Arabidopsis thaliana: one gene and its partner. The protein of the gene in region 2 interacts with the protein of the main gene of each other region in a pairwise test. Each region holds a gene or a part of one and is shown on either strand. Other genes may lie near its edges.

Region 1 (5,390 bases), on a different chromosome or scaffold from region 2:
GTAGTATGATTTATGCAACACTGTTTAGCTGCAAAATCTTGCCTAATCACATATATAACGCATCAAACCTACAAAGAACAATTTATTTGGGTCAAGATTGTATGTAGATATATTTGATTCCATATTTGTCACAATTCAGGCTATTTCTAATGGGTTTGAAGAAATATGGGAAAGGAGATTGGAGAAACATATCTCGGAACTTTGTGATAACGCGAACGCCAACACAAGTAGCTAGCCACGCCCAAAAGTACTTCATCCGGCAACTTTCCGGCGGCAAGGACAAGAGACGAGCAAGCATTCACGACATAACCACCGTAAATCTCGAAGAGGAGGCTTCTTTGGAGACCAATAAGAGCTCCATTGTTGTTGGAGATCAGCGTTCAAGGCTAACCGCGTTTCCTTGGAACCAAACGGACAACAATGGAACACAGGCAGACGCTTTCAATATAACGATTGGAAACGCTATTAGTGGCGTTCATTCATACGGCCAGGTTATGATTGGAGGGTATAACAATGCAGATTCTTGCTATGACGCCCAAAACACAATGTTTCAACTATAGCTAATGAAGATCCATCTCTCTAATTAAAAAGTGTAAGTTAAATTCTTAATTTTTCATATGGACGAAACAATCATATTTGGCAATTGTATAATAAACGTCCATTGTTTTAATTCCAAATTGAAATAGTTAATAAAAGTCTCTTGACAGTGCCTAAGTTATCTTTGAGTAAAATTGTTAGTTAAGTTTCAAATGGTTGCAAGTTGCAAATTAACAAGTGGTGTGACAAAATGAAAGATAGGTGATGCCAAATTAAAACGATATACAAGTGAAGCCAAATTATATCGTCTTTAACAGCTTACGTTATACGCATATATACAACATAACTCCAACTACTCATCCACTTCACTTCTGGACCACCGATACGAAATGGGCTGTCACAGCTTCACATCTAATACACACAAGTTCATCAGCGGTTTAAGATTCATGAACATGCTTGAAGCGTAAACCGAGACTAAACCTAACAAAACATCATCATATGTGTTGTGTACGATAGACAAACCCGATCGAATTAGCAGATGTAAGAAGTGCTTAAACAAATCCTAAACAGTGCCAAATATGCAAATGGTGGTTGTGAATAACCCCTTTTGAGAAACACAACAATAGTCTAATTCATATCAGCATTATCATATTATATAGTATGATGCATAAAAAAAATATTAAATCCGATATTGTGCAGTGTTAGTTGTTGAGGGAAAAAATTAAAAAAATATGTTTGTAATACAAGTTGCAGGGAAAAAGGTTCAAAGACACAAAGTTGGCCATCTCTAACTTAAATATCCAATATTTGTCGTGTAATGTTTGAATAATGTATAGATCACAATATGGCATTATTCGTTGTTCGTCTCAATCAACCAAACTATTCTTTCAACAACCACTTGAAGTTATAACAACGGACAATGTTTGAGAACAGTGCAACTAATTAAACTTTATAGTCCTTAATTTTTTCTTTTATTTTTTCCTTTTTCTAGACACGCTATAGATAGTCTGTAGGACAGTAGACACTATACGTATTTTGTTTTTTTGGTATAACCAAAGAATTTTGGAATTCAATCAACAAAAAGGTACAAATTATTAATTAGCTTTTAAAACAATGAACAAAAGCTATCAAGTAATTGAATAATCAACAAAGATTAAAAAAGATATTTTCTTTTAAAAAAGCTTTTACAAAAATAAATTACTCAGTTGCAAGATTTATAGTCTAGTGGTTAGGGTTGTCAATGTCTTACCATCCCAATTAAAACTCGACACGGAAAGTAAAATGATTAATTAATTCATCTTAACTAGTTCTTATAGATTTTGTTTTTTGGGACAATTTGGGAGATGATCATATAAAAACCAAGGATAATATAATAAAATAAGTGGTACATTATTTTCTGAGTGTTTAAAGAAAACTTTACGTATAACCGAAACTTGTATAAAATGTAAAAAGATGATGTTATGTCAAAAAAAAAACACTTGACTTTTGCATGTCAAGCCATCATACACAAAAAAAAATTAAAAACCCCAACAGAAACAAAACTATAAAACCCTAAAAACTAATAAAGCTCCGTAATTCAAATCATATCGTTTTCTTCCCTGAAAGCTCCCAATTTTCAACTTGATTTCCCGATAATCTCCAATTAGGAATATTAAACGGGACTTGATATCCCATAAACGGGTTAACATTGAAACCTGCAGACCTCGATACAACCTGTTCACGATTATAGTATGGTTGTTCTTGCCTCTGCATGAATTGAGTACCATCGTTTCCCTTTGACATCATCAAGCTTTGAGTCAAAGCCAAGTCGGTCCACTTCTCCATGAGATTTGGGTCCATTTGAATCTGACCATCATGAGGTGAAATCAACGAGAAACCCATATTATTGAAATTATTAGGGAAGCCTTGAAACTGTGGCTGCTCATGAAAATACTGTGGCATGAATTGTTGGTCCATTAAATTCTGCGGGAATGGTGTGTCCATGGCTTGATGATTAACCCTAAACATACTACGCTCCTGTCTCGTTACAGCTTCATTTAACTTGCTATCCACGGCACAGAAAATCCCATGTAGTTGCTCTCGTGAACACTTGTCTAGCTTCTCCTCCCAACTAGAATACTTATTCTCACGCTTCACTCTCTTTTTAGTCACCACCTCGTTTCCTTTCCCTACATCGTTGACGAAAGTCTCCACGTTGGTTTCTTTCCTGCAGCTGGTCGACACTGTGTCTTTGTACTTGCGTATGATGGCCCTGACTTTGGTCTCGTCCTTCGGCCATATCTCTGGCTCGGAAATCACCACATCGGTAGCCTTCGTGGGACCGTAGACGATGAGACATGTCTCGACGCCGCAGAGAGTTGAGAACTCTTGTGCCTTCTTGTAAAGACTAGCTTTCCTCTTCTTGTAAGTTGTTATCCTTGTCTTATCGTTCGCTATCCTTTGTAGGTCGACCACTTTCGGAACCATCCTTTGTAACCTGAGTTATTGTTATATATTACAAAAAAAAACATATAAACATATAAACCTTTTTCCCAAAAACAAAAGTACAAATAAATTGAATTGATATGTTTTGTAAAATACTTTGTTTATAGGCGTTTTGTGAATAGTTGGTCTATAAACACTCAAATTATGATCAAAACAACCCAAATTAAAGGCGTTTTTTCTATGCTGCCTCAATCCCCACACAAACCATAGGATAGAGCGAAAGAATTTTAAAATTACACTCACGAATAAATGAGAAAACGCAAAGCCAATAGTCAAAATCCGAGAAGTAGGAGCTAGCTAATTCTCGACACCCTCAAAACGAAATCAATCCCACAACAGAACAAATGAAACATGAAATACCTTAGAGCCAGAGCAGAATTAATGAACAAATGTAGAAATTGTTTATGGAAAAGATAGTATCCTTACTTGAATATCAAAGCAAAAGTTTCAATGAGATTTTATACCAAAACCGATTTTTTGGAGCTTCTGTCGGAATAAGGGTGAATCAAGCTAATATATGCGAGATTTTATATATTGAGCTTGATTAGGTTTGTGTTTATGGAAGGTTGTCAAAGATCACGAGATATGAACATTTAAATGATCATGAAAGTTTAGGAAAGAAGAATTAAATTGGGAATATTTAGTTTGCCAAAAGGGAAAATATACTAACTTGAAGATGCTTACCAAGAAAGACAAAAATGTTAAACACAGTTAAATTTATTTCTTTCCTTATTAGTTAGACGGTTTAATATTTATACACTTATTGTAATCTTGTTATATAATAGTCACCTTTAACGCCGGCAGCTCTTAGGGCCGTTGTTGTACTACTTATCCGTTGTATGCCGAAAAACTTTCTCGATTCGATTCGTTTTTTATGGATATGGGTAGCTTTAGGTTGTAATATGTTTCGCTAATATAATCTTAACATTAAAACAAAGAAGAAAAGAAGAGAAATGAATGCTAGTAGTTCTTCTGTGAGTATATATTCAAAAGATTTATCCATCTCTATACAGTATATTACAAAAGAATGAGTTGCCTTTACAAGTTGTATAATTAAACAAAAAGTCCATTAAATAATGATACAACACAATGTTTCACCTGTTATGGATCAAAAAGAATTCTTAACACATTTTCCTTGTGGCGTACCGTACCTTATGTGCAGCGTTACTTGTTTTCGTCATCATGATTCTGTGTGTTAGTATCATCAATGTGTTAATTTTCTGCAAAATAGTAAGCATTTGGTTATAACATAGGAATATCAAACACTTTTCTGATCATCTATGCTTTCTTCTCCATTTTTGAATTACGACTAACCTAAGACTCTGTTTTCGTGTTTTGTTGTTTGGATCTCCGCATTTTGCATTTCCTCTATTACTTTCTTGGATTCTTCATCGTCTTCTCTACCGACTAAACCAATATTATGGTGCAGTGATTCTAAATTAAGCTCTAGTTCCTTTTCCATAGCTTCTCCAACTTGCTCATCAAGTTTCAGAATCACTTCATCATTCCTCTCACTAGCAGCTAAGTCATTGGCTACTGCCGCGGTAATATCTTTATTGATATCTTGAGAGACGGTGTTTGAGGAAGAGGCAATAACATCGTCTTGCTCTAGTTGCTGGGTGATCTCCAATGTTCTTGGTGATATCCCTTGGGAAGAATCTATACCACACTATTCAATAAAAACAAAAGTGTCAAAAGCAATTACTAAAACTTCAAATCAAGAACCAACAACAGAGGAAGAAGCTAGTAAAATTTATTATCTTAGTAAATGGTTATGGATAATCACATATTCAGTGAATCATTGGTGGAGTCAGATTTGTCTAAAATGTCAAAGATGATTAGAATAGAAGGTGAAACCTGTTGAGTCCATGTTTGTGAATCTTGTGAGTTTTGAGTGTCAGCTAAAACTACTGATTCTTCCTCAACATTGGCTCTATTTTTGTATCCTTGGGGCGTTTCATCATTAAAATCTTTCAATACCTCTGTTTTTTCTTCTTCCTTAGAAATCTCCTGATCAGTTGACTCATCTAGTGGTGAGTTATTACCATCTTGGACTTGCAGAAGTAACACATCACTAGCATTTTCTGCGTTTCCACAGGCCTCAACATTTCCTCTATTTTTGTATTCTTGGGTTGATTCACCACAAAAATCTTTTAATAACTCTGTTTTTTCTACTTCCTTAGAGATCTCCTGATCAACTGACTCATCTAGTGGTGACTTATGACTATCTTGGACTTGCAGAAGTATCACATCACTAGAATTTTCTGCGTTTCCATAGTCTAAATCAACCAACTGTGTATGAGCATTGCTCGAAGATGCTTCCAAGACATTATGAGTCTTCTCTTCCTCTACTAGCATTGCTTTCTCAT
Region 2 (6,959 bases):
GAAATCCATGAGAGATAAAAAGAGAAGCATACCAATAACGGAATACACGGTTCCGGTGATTCAAGAAAACATAAAGGACTCAACAACGGCGATTGGTCATCGAACATATCGCCAGACATGTTTATCGAATATCCGGAACACAAGGTTATCCTAATTGGAAGATTGACATCGTTTATAAATTAAAAGATGAGGTGGAAAAATCTAAACATAAAATGCTGATGTCACACACTAGAGAGAATAAAATAAATCATCTAATAAAAATATGAAAATAGTCTATATGTTAAAATATATTACAGTTATACCATTACTATATTACAGTTATGCCATTAATATATTACAGTTATGCCATTAATATACTTATTTTCATATTTGTTTTTCAAACTTTATATTTTGAGGAAGAAAAAAAACATTTATAGTTTATACATATTTTTTAAATTATAACATATTTCTAATTTATATATTAATTTTCAGATAAAATAATATTAGTTTTTAACTATTTAATTTTATTTAAGTATTACACATCCAAAAATATGAAATAGCCAGGCTCATCAAACAAATATGTTAAAATGAAAAATATAATCATCATTTAAGACTTAAACTATACTTTACCTCACCAAAAAAAAAAACTTAAATAGGCAGTCCAAAAATGGAGAAATTAATAACTAATTTTAGTCTTTAGACATAAAAGCATTGTTTGGTATTTCACAGGTCTAATCTAAATTTTCTTTAAAATAATGAGATTTAGTGTGATATATGAGGAAAGAAATCTGGAGATAATGATTGGTACATTGTTCTGATTGGATTCTACCAAAATAAGTCATCACTGAATTGTGAAAATCCCAAATGTCAGAGCTCTATTGCTTTCTCTAGATTTTGTGGATGTGTTTCATTAAAAGGCTTTTGCCAAGTTTCTACATCACTCATATCCTCTTAAAATAATAAAATTTGGAAATAAGACCACTTTTTCGAGGACAAATTTGAAAATAATATTGCTTTCAATGCAAAAATCATCCGTTTCATCGTTTTGACGGTTTTTCGTTAAGCTATAACAGATTCAAATTCAAACTACCTTCTTCAAGAGCAAAATCTATTTTGTAGTCATTGTGAATAATACATTTGATACACACTATTAAATTTCTGTGAATTTGTTTAACACATACAACTCAAATTCTACATACTAAGTTACTAACCTTTCTTTTTTTCATATATAGAGGACAGTTTTTACGTCATACCACTTCATCGTCTACGTAAGGTTATATAATTGATCTCTATGAGTATATATAAGATTTTTTTTTTTTTTTTTTTTTTTTGGGGGCACAAGTATATATAAGATTGTCTCACAAATTTCTTGATTGGTCCATTATTTATAGAATATATTGACTTTATTAGATACTACTTTTTTGTCAATGCATCTTAATTAGTGGATAACACATACGAGTTTGAAGTTCTTAGAAAATTTATAATAAAAGAAAAAAGCCTAAATTAATATTTTATGTTTTTTTTCCCAGATATCACACAAATTTATGGAAACCAGTGTTTTTTTTTTAAAATAGAAAAATGCATATGTTACTATTAGTCCTGATTTTATTTGTTTTATTTTTTTAAAGGATATTAGTGGGTCTGCGCACTTATAGAATGTTCGTATATACGTATGGCGTTTTATTCTCTTTTAATGAATTGGTGAGAGACATAGTCTCCTCCTATTCTACCAAAAAAAAAAAAGATTAATATAGAGGTATATGCATTTGCATGTATTACAAGTATTGAGCAACTGCACCCACTAAAATTCGATAGATCAAAATAATTTTCTAAATACTAACCATAGTGTCTCCACTAGAACGTTTAAACCCGCGTACGTTAGTGATATCAAATAAAAAAACTAAAAATTTTAAAAAATCACTCTTTCCGTTTTTTGTTTTTTTGTTTTAAGTTAAATTTCTCTTTCAACTGTTTTATACTTAAATAAGTCCAAACAAAATTATGATTATCTTCACTCAACCAAAAGTTGAATGATCTTTTAAAAAAATTAGACAAGCAAAATTGACATAATCATATGCATATTTGAGAGCAAAACATGTTTTTCATGTTTTATATACATAATATATAGTATATACATTGTTTAACAGTAAAATGTTTTTTTTATAATAGAAACGTTATGTACAATATACAAGTCAATAAAAGGTTAAGGTCTTAACTCTTAAGTGTGGAAGTTGTGTTTTATATAAACATATATATAGTAATATCTTGTCTTCATAGATAAATAAAACCGTATATATATTGTTAACTTTTCTAAAAAATAAAAGAAAAAACGTATAAATTATGTCAATAATATATGGTAAAATTGAAATTCCTTGAGATTATTGGCTACTGAGCTGAGGCATTCTTATATCATAGTCGGAGACCTCGTGGTCTGCTTGTGCATCCTTCTTCATAACCGGTATTTCAATTTCTTCTATATTGGGATCAACCACCAGTCCATGCTAACATATTTAAAAGCAAAAAAAAAAATTAGTGAAACAATTTTAATTTATTTCGGAAAAAGAGAAAATATAGAACCTGATGCTGCATAGGAGGAAATAGAGTCGAAGGGTTATGGGCCGTAGTAGAATTATAGGCTTGGGCCCATTCTTGAAACATGTCACCGTTATGATTTGACACATTGGATTCACCCATAATGTTGTTTTGGTTCGAGCTTGAGCTACTTCCTTGCAATAAAGTTTCATACATTGCTGAATGTGCCGATGCGTCGAATAAATGGGCTTCGTTAGGCCCATTTTCAGTCAGCCATCCTCCAACGACGTCGTTTCCAAAAGGCCCACCCATGCTTTGCTGTTGTTGTAAAGCAGATGCTTCATATGAAGATAATTGGTCTTGACTCAATATATGTTCCTGCGTCTCAAGAAATTATTTAGTTACTAATAGATATTGTTGAATACATTATGCTTAGAAAAAAATAAAGGGGAGTTTAAATTATTGACCCGTCGTTGATTGACACGTGTTAAGGTGTCCATGAGCTGCTTCTCACAAGTTTCGTACTCTTCCATTGTTGTAAACCTGATTGGATCTGGTTCGTATTTCCTAATTATATATATAATTTGGATATAAGTATTAGTTACATAAATTTTCATACATTGTATCACATTCACTGTGTTTTTGGTTATAAAAAGAAGACCTTAGTTCTTCCTCTGCCATGAGAAGTTGTTGTTGTAACTTATAAACTTCATGCTCAAGTTCCTAAAATTGATGATTAGAGAGTAAATAACATAAAGTAAAGTTATTAGCTAGAGGAAAAAAATAGAAGATTCACCTCGACGTCGGAGTTGATAGCTGTAGGGCTTTTTTAAAATCATCCAATAAGAGAAAAATAAAGAAAATCAACTTCCGAATTATTGCAAATAACGTAGTTATATAATAATGAAAGTAGAGAAAGAATTTGAGACTTGGTAAGTTGAAGAGCAATATCATTCTCAGCCTTGAGTTGCTGCAAAGTCCGGAGTAGATACTGTCACGTGACAAGAAAATTTCGAGATCAATAATCTGAAATGTATAATTGTCCTTCATTGAAAAGGAGCTAGGTATATATACACACATGACACATGCACAATATGCTTAATCTAATTACATACCTCTTTGCTCTGGAAATCTCTGCAAGATAGAGTTGTCAAAATATGAAAAACTCAATTAGATTTTGATGATTATAAATATACGGTTATTATATGTTTAATTATTTATCGGAATAAGAGTAAGATACATACGGGCGTCGACTTTGATCGGGGAATACTAGAGCACTAAAACAAAATGAAAGAGAAATATTAAGAACAAATGAGTGGAATATCTTTAGAGAATCTATTAAAGCCTTGAAAGGTCAGCTTACTTCTCTCGTTCTTGATCAGAAAGATTGATGTATCTAGAGAAAACGTCTTCAATCCTGACAAGAGTTTAACGAATAAATATAGATCAAATGAATGTTTCCATGTTTTGTACAATTAACCGAAAGAAAATGTTATAAGACAACAACAACAAAAAACCTTGTTTTGCCCGAAAAGAGGCTAAGGCGATCAGAGGGAGAGAACATGAGGAGAGCAATGTCGATGTCACAAAGAATGGACAATTCATAAGCTTTCTTTATAAGACCATTTCGTCTTTTGGAGAATGTAACTTGTCGATTCGTTGTGTTTTCTATTCGTTTTATCTCCAATTTCACTCGACCCATGTCTCTTATATCCGATCAATGCAACCAACAAACTCAAAGACTCTTCTTTATTTTGGTTTAGGGAATGCGAAAATCTGATCATTGGAGGCAAAAGTGCCTATATATATATGAGAGATGTACGGACGAGAGAAAAGAGAACCATGAAAGAAGGAGAGGTTAGGTATAAGAGAGATTTGGTTAGAAATGTATGGAAGAGATTAAGAGAGATTAAAAGGGTTTTGTTCTTTGAACGAATTAAGAATATGATGTTATTTTTTGCCACAGAAAATTCATATAGGAGTATTGGGATCAATTAATAACGTTCAGATTAACCAGCATATATCGTTTATTTTGTCAATAATTAATTGTAAAAACAAAACATAAAAGTCAACTAGTCCTCTTTACCTCGCAATGGCTACTCTCTCAGCATATGGAGAGGCTTCGGCAATATCTACTTAATGGTCAAATATTTGACTTTCCTTCAACGGCTATATTTTCCGACCGTTAAACACTATCTCAAGGTGTTTTTGCTTAAACATTGTGAATTGTTCGTGATGATGTTCAAAGTGGAAGATTCATATGATTATTCACTCACCAAGACACCAATGTAAGTTCTGATTCCAATTCACTGCTATATATATCCTTGTATTATTTTATTTATTTTTCTTAAAAAAACACTTAGGAATGTAAACCAAACCAAAAGATGTAAAAAAAAATTGTAAGCCAAACCAAAAGATGTAAAAGAAAATAAAAAGAAAAAAAGAAAAAAAAGAAGAAGAATATTTTGTAGCCTTATGCATTGAAATTTGTACTTTTTAGTCAGGTGTACATTAAATAAAAACTATAGGCTATATGAGAAAACAATAAAATTATCACTAGGTTATATGTTTGAGTTGTACTGTTTCTTACATATATATATCAACACAACTCGTGGGACGTAGATCTTGCTCTTACATAAATATCTACGGCTTCTCCTACTGTCATATATATATTTTCTGTCTTTATTTTCTCGTCCAATTTTGCTCGCTTCAATTTGTGAAGTACCCTCCATCTGGGACTAGCGATGACTAACTGCAGCCCACAAACATAAAACAAATATTGGTAATTTGAAAATCCAATGAACCCACATATGTAACTATAGTGAATGAATAACATTTGATTGAGAAATAAAGATGTACCCGGATGTCATTAGAAGCTAGCTCTTGATGTAGTTCTTCAAGTGCAAATACTCCTGATGTATCTACGCCCATCACGCCTTCACCAATATTTTGTTACATGTAAGATTCAGTACCTCTACTATATATACAATAAAACATTTTCTATAAATTAGTATATCATGATAGAATGTGGGATGTGCTTACAAGACATGTCGAGAATTACTACTTGAAGACCATTTTCTTTTAGAACTTCTTGTTCATTCTCCTCTCCTTCTATTTCTTGAACTGAATTCAATATTCTGAAAGAAGAAAAAATATTTATTTTTTTTGTCAAACTGATAAGAGTTTCACAAGAGTAACTAATGATGTTTGAACAAAAAAAAAAAAAAAAGAAGAAGATAAATATTGATTAATGACCTGTCTCTTATAAAATTGGCATTAGCAAAGCATAGCAAAGGAGAACTGATTCGAAGAGTCAATAATCCTGCAGTCTTATTTGCCATTGGATACTGATTTATGTCACCGAAGATATCTGTTTTTGATAACCTCCCTAAGGCCTCAATGCTTGGTCTTATCGAACTCAACATTATTCTTGCAAACGATATCCCCACCTACATATATACAAATAACTCTGTTATATACATAGTCTTATCCATCAAAATTCACAGTGTAAGATCACAACTGATTAAGCTGATCAAAAGGATAAAGATCGATCACAAGTATCCATTCTCACAGCCAGTTTTTCAAAGGTACTTTAAACATATGTATTTGATTTTTTGTGTACTTATTTGCCACTTGAATGAAACAGTATACATTATTGATTGTTTTGTCGTACAGGGTCTGTCTATGCACAGCGAATTTGGTCGGCCTAGTAGCATTTTTATATAGCAGTTTTATTGGTTAGAAAATATATGAGATATCGACGCTTTTGTTGTCTATAGGAATAATTCACATGATTGAATATAAAGAGTTTTGTTGACTTCCTCAGGGCATCAATCAATCTTGAGTAAAAACAATAGTTTCAATTATATAGTTAATAAACTAGATCATAACCCGTGCTATTAATATTTTGTATAAATTAAATTGTATATTTTGTTATGTTTGTTATGTTTGTCAAAATTATTTGTTATATTTGTCAAAATTTAGTAAAATATATTCAAATATAATTAAATTTATTAAAACTTAATAAATTTAAAAGTTTTTTTTGTTTGGAGACGCACTATCTACATACAAAATACCCGTTTCTATTTTTTTGAGTATTTTTAGGGCCTGAAACTTTTTATCCAAACTGACTCAAACCCAACTGGACCGACCCGAACCGAATATTTAGAATTATTCTATTAGGTAGTAAATCATATACCCATTAATCCCAAACCCGAACGGGTTCTACCCGAACTCGAATGTGTTACTCATATGCCCAGCCCTATTCTCTGATTTAATTATCTAAAAAATCCCAATAAAACATATGTTTTGCTGACTACTTTTTATTCAAAAAAATTTACATCCTCTTTTGCCAAAATCATTTCATAAGACATCCCAAAACCCTTGGAATAATGATTCCATGAATGAAGAATCCTAATTTGAATATACCAAGAGGTTTTGAAAGGTTT

What was found.
Region 1: the proteins of AGL66 (region 2) and AGL82 interact in a two-hybrid assay, tested with the Arabidopsis thaliana proteins (one large-scale study listed by BioGRID).

Annotation. Positions count from the first base shown.
Region 1 is NC_003076.8:23,778,445-23,783,834, reverse strand, and holds AGL82 (AGAMOUS-like 82), read right to left. Parts: upstream 3,004-5,390; coding exon 2,119-3,003; downstream 1-2,118. Other genes in the region: AT5G58900 (Homeodomain-like transcriptional regulator), read left to right, coding at 140-560; AT5G58880 (LRR protein), read right to left, coding at 4,234-4,241, 4,336-4,690, 4,879-5,390. UniProt on the Arabidopsis thaliana protein: Probable transcription factor that may function in the maintenance of the proper function of the central cell in pollen tube attraction.
Region 2 is NC_003070.9:29,312,855-29,319,813, forward strand, and holds AGL66 (AGAMOUS-like 66), read right to left. Parts: upstream 4,333-6,959; 5' UTR 4,214-4,332; coding exon 4,029-4,213; intron 3,929-4,028; coding exon 3,875-3,928; intron 3,789-3,874; coding exon 3,756-3,788; intron 3,646-3,755; coding exon 3,627-3,645; intron 3,503-3,626; coding exon 3,441-3,502; intron 3,336-3,440; coding exon 3,308-3,335; intron 3,235-3,307; coding exon 3,173-3,234; intron 3,079-3,172; coding exon 2,979-3,078; intron 2,890-2,978; coding exon 2,557-2,889; intron 2,481-2,556; coding exon 2,358-2,480; 3' UTR 1,987-2,357; downstream 1-1,986. Other genes in the region: AT1G77960 (repressor ROX1-like protein), read right to left, coding at 33-119; AST56 (STAS domain / Sulfate transporter family), read right to left, coding at 5,111-5,263, 5,371-5,447, 5,554-5,648, 5,767-5,960. UniProt on the Arabidopsis thaliana protein: Probable transcription factor that forms a heterodimer with the MADS-box protein AGL30 and is involved in the regulation of pollen maturation at the late stages of pollen development and pollen tube growth.